Arabidopsis thaliana: one gene and its partner. The protein of the gene in region 2 interacts with the protein of the main gene of each other region in a pairwise test. Each region holds a gene or a part of one and is shown on either strand. Other genes may lie near its edges.

Region 1 (4,835 bases), 2.4 Mb from region 2:
AGCAGAATCCTCAGCAGCTATGAATCTATCCTTCAGAACACTGATGTTGGAGGAGCGGCTCTTTTCCATCGCTCCTCGGATCCAGATGTCATGATGATCCTCAGTGATCTTAGATTCTAAAGTTGAGGCAGAAACCACTTCCTTTTCAGCCATACTATCCTAAACAAAATAGTATCGCAGAAACGAAACTCGATGAAAAGGCTAACAAGCAACAAAGAAGAATGCAACTTATTAATTTGGTAATTGAGCTACAAAGAACATCCAAGTTTTGATAATTTGGTGGAGTATTGAGCAACAAAGAACACCAAGTTTGATAATTTGGTGGAGTATTGAGCAGATTCGATATTCCAAAGTCAAACAAGAAAAAGCCTTGACGATTCAATAAGCGATGGACTCAGAGAAAATCCTAAACGGATCAATCGCAAACAACCAAGAACGTAATCAGAATCATAAACGCGCGGTACGGGAAAAGAGGATATCAAATGACAAACCCAGAGGGATCAACTTTGCCCGTAGATTTCGGGAGGCTAAACGCAATCAGGTCCCGGCCGATCAACCGATGGGAACGAAGTCGGGTCGGGTTGACTTGGCGACAGAAACGGGTCGTTTGCTTGAGGATTAACACAACAAGACGCCAAGGAGAATAAATTTAGTTTGGCATAAAGTTTCCCTAAACCAACTTTCTTAACTGCTATAAATTAGTTAGAGTTTGGACCTTATTGGGCTTTTACTTAAATATTGTGCCGGCCCACCATTTTAACTTCGACCCAAGCTCTCAGTCAGATCGATTGCTTCCCGGAAGAATCAGTCAGAAACAGTCAAACTTGTAAATTACACGAATTACAACATTAGAAAGACTTGGGGTTTATCTTCATGTTACAAGACCCAAATATATATTAATCAGAGTGCAAGGGATAAGTTACCGGCATAACCCACAACAAAGTCTGAAACCAAAAGGCCAAATGAGGCCTCATTTACATGGCACAGACGTGATAGTCGTCCTATTTCCGAATGGCATAAGCTGGCAATTTCGATAAGTCGGGTATAACAAAAGCAAGTTCGGAAGAGCCTGTCACAAACATGGGACTTCCTGGACCCCATTTAATGACTGGGGGCTCACTCCCTAAACCCATCCAACTATGTACCTACACATACAATAATCCAATCAACACTCAAAACTATACAAAAGCAAAGTTTCCAGTGACAAACTATGTACACCAAACTATGGCTGTATTGCTAGTCCAACCTGTTTTCCGCTCCTTACACCCCATGCATGGGTACTACCATCACCTGAACCTACCAAACCATGACAAAAACAGAACAAGTTATTTCACATGAAGGAAGTGTGTGAGTGTGTGCATGCATCATCCGAATCAGGTAAAACTCAAGGTTACCTGAAACAACAAACATCCCTTCAGGACTAAAGGCTGCATCCAATGTAGATTCTCCAGCTACTGGTTTCACACTAAATGTGGACAGCTGCAATGTACCACAAAAGAGTTACATAAACCAGTTTATTTATTGGTCATGTGTGTGTAAATGAAAAAACCATAACTAGCGAAGAGCAAGGGAGGCTGAAGGCATACAAGAGTTCCACGAAACGAGTCAAGCACATGAATAAAACCATCCATGGTTGTAAGCAGCATGAGCCTTCCATCATTACTAAATTTCACAACGTTTGCCTCAGAAAGATCACCACCAACGGAAAATATTTCAAAAGGACCCTATAAAAGCAACTTATCCAAATCAGAAAAAGATAAACGTTCAATGTAAATAAGAAAATGTGAATACAGCACAGGTGGTCCATCAAGCTGCTAGAGACATAACAGGATCATTGGTAGCTTTTGTCAAGAACAAACCTTTTCGTACATACGGGCATCAAACATTCTTATGTAGCCACCAAAGGCAATTGCAAAAATTAACCCTTGATCATCATATGCTGCAGCAGGCCTTCCTTGGACTCGTAAGAGACCCTGTGGTTAACCCAAATGGTCAATTTTATTAGATGTAAGACCTCCATAAGCACCTAGGGTAGAGAAAGGTAATCTACCTGGCATTTCTCGACCCTTTGATCCCAAAGCAAAACAGTACGATCAAGGGAACCGGAGATGAAGCATTCCCCACCAGAACACAAGCTAAGCGAAACAACTCTGTGTACAGCATAAATTGGTTAAGTTCATCCGGTTTGTGAAGGAAAACATAAGCTGATCAAACAAGAATCAGAAAAGAAACAAACCTGTCATGATGTCCTTTGAAGTAGCGCAAGTACTTATTATCGTGCAAAGAGAGAAGCCTCAGAGAGTCTAACCAACCAGATATAAAAGTTAGTTAAAGCAAATCAGATAATGAGGAAAAGCAATGTGCACATGAATTTGGGCTCACCGTCCCATCCGTTTCTGGAAGAGTAGATGACAGTAGTAGGATGAGAAGTGAAGCAAACAAGATCAACACCATACTTTTTGCTATTAATTGTCTTCAGACATCTGAAACAAGAAAACAGAAAACACTGAAAATATAGTTGGAATGTCTTATAGAGCAATACTCAAGACAGAGTTTGGGGTTTGGAACTCACGTGGCGCTGGCAACATCATAGAGACGAATTGAGTCATCGTCGCTAGCTGTCACCATACAAGTCGAAGTTTTGTGAAAGTCAATTGAGCTGATCCTGCAATTCTGAAAAGAAAAGCTCCATCCTTTAAAATCCCATTATAATAACAGGAACAAAAGAAGAAAGCTTCGAGAAGGGAAGGAAAAATTACATAGTCTCTGAAAACGGCGCCAGGTTCCATGCTCTGTATAATTTCTTCGCTGAGTTCCAAAGAAACTCGGTCCTCTCTCTCTGTAAATTCCACCATTGGACAATGAAATTGTTAAGACTTCACGTTACACCGCCGAGAATTGAAATCTCGTGTCATCAATAACACTCACCAACCATCTCTCCGACGCGTAAACCAATATCGCCGGTGATGTATAGAAGCCCTAACAAGGGCTTCGACTTTAGGGATCGACGTCTTCCACCGCCTTAACTGATGCCAACGATTTTCTATGTGGGCCAACTTTTTGAGTATGGGCTTTTAAATATGGGCCCAAATGATGCGCTTCTCCATTCCAACATGGCAACATCCAGCAAAGCCGTGGATCGTTGACTTTACCATCAACTGGTTACAAACTTATTACAATTGAACATGATAACCAATATTTACAACTACCACTATACCAAATTTGAAGTTACACGATGCATATTATATTGGTAACTAATACAGTAACATACATTCATTCTTCTTTTAGTAATCGTTTTTACGGTACAGGATACTATAAAAAGGTTGGTCGTAAATTTGTAATGATTTGTTTTGATGTCAACTTATGAAGACTGAAGAGTAACTTAAGAAAATGATTAATACTAATATATAATCCCAAAAATATTAAGCAAGGCGTATACACGTAGGGTAGCTTTTATTCCACCAATTTATAATTTGCTAATCAAACAAGAGGTGACAATGAAGAATATAAGAAGTGAGGGTGTTAGGGGACGTTTTCCTGGTGGATGATGGCCTTCTTGGTTCTGATAAACTCGATACAGTCAGCCACGGCTTCGCTGTGATAAGTATCAGTGGGGTTGTAGTACTTTTGGATTGGCGTCTGTCTGTTATGACGGCGAGATGTGGACTTGGAGACAGCAGATATCATGATGAGGCGGAGAACAGCTTCGCGAAAACGGTCCAGGAGATTCAGATCACTAGTCTCCCGATTACCAGTGGCTCTGGAGTTGGTTTTTACACGGGGGACACATCCGGCGCCAGAGTTCTTGGTCTTCATCTACAAGCTGCTCTGATGATTAAGTGTTTCCTTCCTCTTCAGCTGTCGCATGTGGGGGTTTTATTTATACACGAGAATCTAATTATGATCCAAGGGAGGCGCAGTTTTATTGTCAAATAGTCTTGTCTTTTGCATATTTTATTAGTACAATCTCTAAGTGATGAGACTTTCAAGTTCCAATATCAAAGATATAAAATCCTTTTAAGGCTGGTCAAGTTTAAGTTTTGGTGAATGGTACATTTAATGTGTGTGTTTATAACATGGTCGGGACATTTTAAGGGCATCTCCATCCATGAGAAACCCACAAAGTTTCTCAACAAAATAAATATTAATATTATATTATAATTTGATTATTTGATTAAAAAAGTATTTTTGTTAAAAAATTGAACCAATAGTAAGATGAGAATTGTCATGATGGGTTGTACAGAGTATCTCAGAGTTTCTCAAGTGAGAAACTTTATACACTCTCTCTCCTTCATTTTCATTATTTTTATTTTTTTAATTGTGAGAAACTCTTATGAGATACTCCCAATGGAGATGGTCTCATTCGCATGCAAATAGCCCATTTAAAGCATTTTTATTTGTTAGGTGGCTCATTTTTCCAGAAAATAAAACAGTCACAAAAACATATACAAGTAGATATATGCATACTTGATACTTATATAGAATGGGCAAGGGAAGAGTTGTGTCTATGAAAGGATTTACAAGATGGGGCAGAGTTAAAGGACTTGTCCTAAGGATTTGTTGCATACTTAATGAATAGAGAATGCGGGTCAGTCTTTACTGACCTCGTTTGATGATTTTCACATGGTCACATGTGCAAGAATTCACCAATATAATCTCACATAACTTTTAGCGAGCATCTGTATATACACAATTAAACCTTATTTATACATTTCATTGCCTTGTTACAACATTTGAGCCGACTCACCGGCCAATACCAAAATTGAAAGAGATGCATAATAGTATAATGGATATGATCACCCTAGATATAGACAAATTTGGATGGTTTAATAAAG
Region 2 (3,693 bases):
ATATGTTGAATTATTGAGCTCTTCTTTTCTTAAAAGCAAATCATTCGATTACTTTTGGAACTTTGTGATTTTATCAACGACAAAAGAAAGTACAAAGATTATTGAGCAAATAGACAATTAGACATATACGTAAAAGACAATCATAAGTAGCTCTCACTCGTGAATCTTTTGACTAACTGTAATTTTTTTGGTGGTATATAACTTCATGTTGGTACGAGTCCACATTCCACAATACAATAAAAATAAAAGTAAAAAACAAATTGCAAATGCAAATTGCTTATGAAATAAATACGAAGCTGACATTATTAGTACATAGACTACCAAAAAATTCTAAGAAACAGAAAGGTCGACACGATAGGAGGGTCGGTGAATCTAATCAGGTTCGCATTAATGCTTTAATTAGGCGATTCCCGATACGTAGTCTCACGTTACAATTAGTACTAAAATAAACGTAAACCGAACTTAATCTCCTCATTATGTGCCATGTTTTAAATCATTTGTTTTGCGGTTATTACGCTTACTTTTTTCTACATCTTTATTTTATAAAATAGATCATGAAATAGCATGATGAAGGGAGGTTTATAGGTCCCTCGCCTCGTTTTACTCTATGAGCCCATCTTATCTTTAATCATATTCCATAGTCCATACCATAGCACATACAGTAGTTATATGCTGCAGAAGAGATCCAACAAAACATTCACAATGGATTATAGAAACATTTGTTTATTCATTATAATGAGATCTTACATTCATTTAATATTAGAAAAAGCCACAAATTCATAACACAACAAGCCAAGAAAAAAACACAAACTTAAGCACACAAGCTTTTTATTTGACACACCAAATATTTCATCTTCATCTTCATATTCAATTAGCCCCGGAGATATCGATGGACTTGACTTGAGGCTTCTTCTCAGGCGCTTTCGGAACCACAACCGTAAGCACACCATTCTCCATTGTTGCCTTCACTTCTTCCATCTTTGCATTCTCCGGTAACCTAAACCTTCTCATAAACTTCCCACTAGCTCTCTCCACACGGTGCCACTTATCGTTCTTCTCTTCGTTCTCCTTGCTCCTCTCTCCGCTAATCTGCAGAACGTTCTTGTCTTCAACCTCAACCTTGACTTCTTCCTTCTTCAGGCCTGGCAAGTCCGCTTTGAACACATGTGCCTCCGGCGTTTCCTTCCAATCCACTCTTGCGTTTGTAAACGCTGCCACATCACGAGCGGTTGAAGCGTTTGCCAACGCAGAAGATGGCGTGAAGAATCCTTCGAATGGATCCCATAAGTCTTGCGAGAACGGATCAAAGACGTTTGATCTGCGTCCTCCAAAAATGCTTGGAATGAGAGACATTGTTCGTTGCTTTTCGGGAGACTTTTGGTTCTTGATTTTCCTGCTGATTTGATCTGATTAGCAAAGGACATATTTATAGGGAAGTTAGAGGATGAAGAGAGAATGTTCTTCGAGTTTCTTGAATAGAATAGAAAATGCTCCTTTTTCTAAAACCTTCGCTTGGAGTCTTTAGAACACATACACAATGATCACTGTGGTGAAATGACCAGATTTTTCTTGGCATTTCAGGAAGTTTCGTTTGTTGAAACAAGACCGAAATGCAATCCTTGGTTACAATTAAAACTACGTGCCGTTTTGCTTTGTTGTTGTATTATCCTCTTCGAGATACGGGCTCAGTGAAGCGGATCTTCTTTGCAAAAGCCCATTTCTTAATAGGTCGGAAGTGGAATTTAAGAAAATCTAACTCAGAGAAAAGAGGACAAAATCAAGATTTAAGATTATTAGCTTTTCGCCAAAGGAAAACTATAGTAAGTTCTCGCAATAACAGTTGGCACTAAATTTCCGAGAATGTCAACAATCTTTTAATGGATTTTTTTGTCTCCATATATACAAGAACTGAGCCACGTTTTTGTGACAAACATAGACAACATATTTACTAAACAAGTAAACTAAAAAAAAAAAAAATCTAAATGATTCGATTCAAGTATCAGTTACTGTGATCAAAATCTCAACTTATTTATTGCCTGTTCATGTCATGCTTGAACCAGAAGAAATGACCATGGAAAGTAATTGTGATTACCTTTTTGGGAAACTTGGGGTTAAAAATTGAAAATGTGATATGTCATGGTTTTGGTTTCTAATCAATAGAACTTGCATGAAAGAAAGAAAGAAAGAGAAATGAAGAGAAAAGCTTTACATTGTAAAGATGCTACTAATTGAACAAACCTACTTGTCGTCAAAGCTGCAGCAAGCTTGGTCTCTTTTCCATAAGCTCGTACTTGATAACAAAATGTTCCTGCGATAACCATCACCAGCAAAATTCACTCATAACACTGCAAATTCGAGAACAAGGAAATAGATATTCCTGCAATAATCGTCGGCTTACCTTTCTCACTGTTTTGAACGAATTTGGATCAAGGTATTCGTATGTTCCTCTTTCATATGTAGCTGCCCTGACTAAAGGTTCCCCGACTCTGAAGAACCATACTCTGAGTTCCTTGTGGTAAAACCAACCTCTTTCGTAACTGCAACATGTCAATCGAACTCAAAAGTCTCAGCCAAAGAGAGCGGAGTAAACGAATAGATCAAAGATTACAGTAGAGAAAAAACATACAGTTCATCTGCTGCGTACAGCTGTGCTTCATCTTTTGGCATACTGGAACAATAATTAGAGCAAAGTAATAAGTTTAAAAGCCCAAGGTTAATTTAGGAGTTGGGCAAATGTGACGCTGAATGCTGATCTAATAACAGACCTGTAAAATGTGTAGAACAATAACTCGTAGGAGAACCTTTTGAAACTAGCTCGCTGCAACAAACGGAAATAATGACACATTTGTTAACAAAATCGAGAAAATACTTTGTTGGTACTACTCGCAACAACAGAGGGAACTTACAGTTAGAGGCGGAGGTTCTGTGGCGTAGTAACAATTTGGTACTGTGAACTCGACCTCGCTCTTTGCCGGTTCATTTGTCCAAGGAGACGCAAATGTCTTGTAGAGATTTCCAGTTGAATTCAAATCCAATCCTAGCGTCGTCAAGTCGATGCCAAGAGCAAGTGAGGTCAATTCAGGGTTGCTCCTGTTTAGTACGTCTAACAAGCCAAGCAAGCAAAAAGGATCTGCCTCTGACTGTGTCGATTTCATCTCAGAATCTCTAAATTGGTTGATTGATGACATCTGTTGCACAGGGAACTGGGATTGATTTTGATGTTGCTGATACTGCTGAATAAGCTGATCATAACCAATACTGGAAACTGCATTAGGCGAGCTTAGAGGTCTAAGGCCAAGACCCTGTAGCCCACCAGTCTGGTATTAAATAAGAATTAAATGATAAGATACGGTAGTTGGAGCAAGTGTGGCCCAACCACATGATGCAGTACCATAATAATATGAGATATGCAAATTGAAGAAAGTTCCGGCTTGTATACATATAGGGATAGGAGAGACTGCCACTCACAGATGAAGTATGTTGTGGCTGTTGTTGTGGACGATGTGATGAATATGTTGCTCCCAAGTTGAAACCACCAGATCTACCCATCTGCAAATTTGCAATATCCAAACATTAATTCACATCAACAACCATATCAACAGAAAAAGGCAGGACAACACTTTGTTAACTTCGAAACAGTCTAAAGCTTACAGAAAAGTTTTGAGAGTGCATCATTGACATAGCATTGTCATG

The links.
Region 1: the proteins of HSP18.2 (region 2) and AT5G66240 interact in a two-hybrid assay, tested with the Arabidopsis thaliana proteins (one large-scale study listed by BioGRID).

Annotation. Positions count from the first base shown.
Region 1 is NC_003076.8:26,464,368-26,469,202, reverse strand, and holds AT5G66240 (Transducin/WD40 repeat-like superfamily protein), read right to left. Parts: upstream 3,030-4,835; 5' UTR 2,936-3,029; coding exon of another isoform or gene 2,929-2,935; 5' UTR 2,856-2,928; coding exon 2,760-2,855; intron 2,674-2,759; coding exon 2,573-2,673; intron 2,484-2,572; coding exon 2,383-2,483; intron 2,304-2,382; coding exon 2,237-2,303; intron 2,151-2,236; coding exon 2,051-2,150; intron 1,974-2,050; coding exon 1,860-1,973; intron 1,725-1,859; coding exon 1,587-1,724; intron 1,480-1,586; coding exon 1,395-1,479; intron 1,297-1,394; coding exon 1,247-1,296; intron 1,146-1,246; coding exon 1,002-1,145; 3' UTR 719-1,001; downstream 1-718. Other genes in the region: AT5G66250 (kinectin-like protein), read right to left, coding at 1-153.
Region 2 is NC_003076.8:24,060,292-24,063,984, reverse strand, and holds HSP18.2 (heat shock protein 18.2), read right to left. Parts: upstream 1,663-3,693; 5' UTR 1,354-1,662; coding exon 868-1,353; 3' UTR 685-867; downstream 1-684. Other genes in the region: VIP2 (VIRE2 interacting protein 2), read right to left, coding at 2,249-2,308, 2,399-2,537, 2,627-2,668, 2,766-2,818, 2,907-3,317, 3,469-3,549, 3,652-3,693.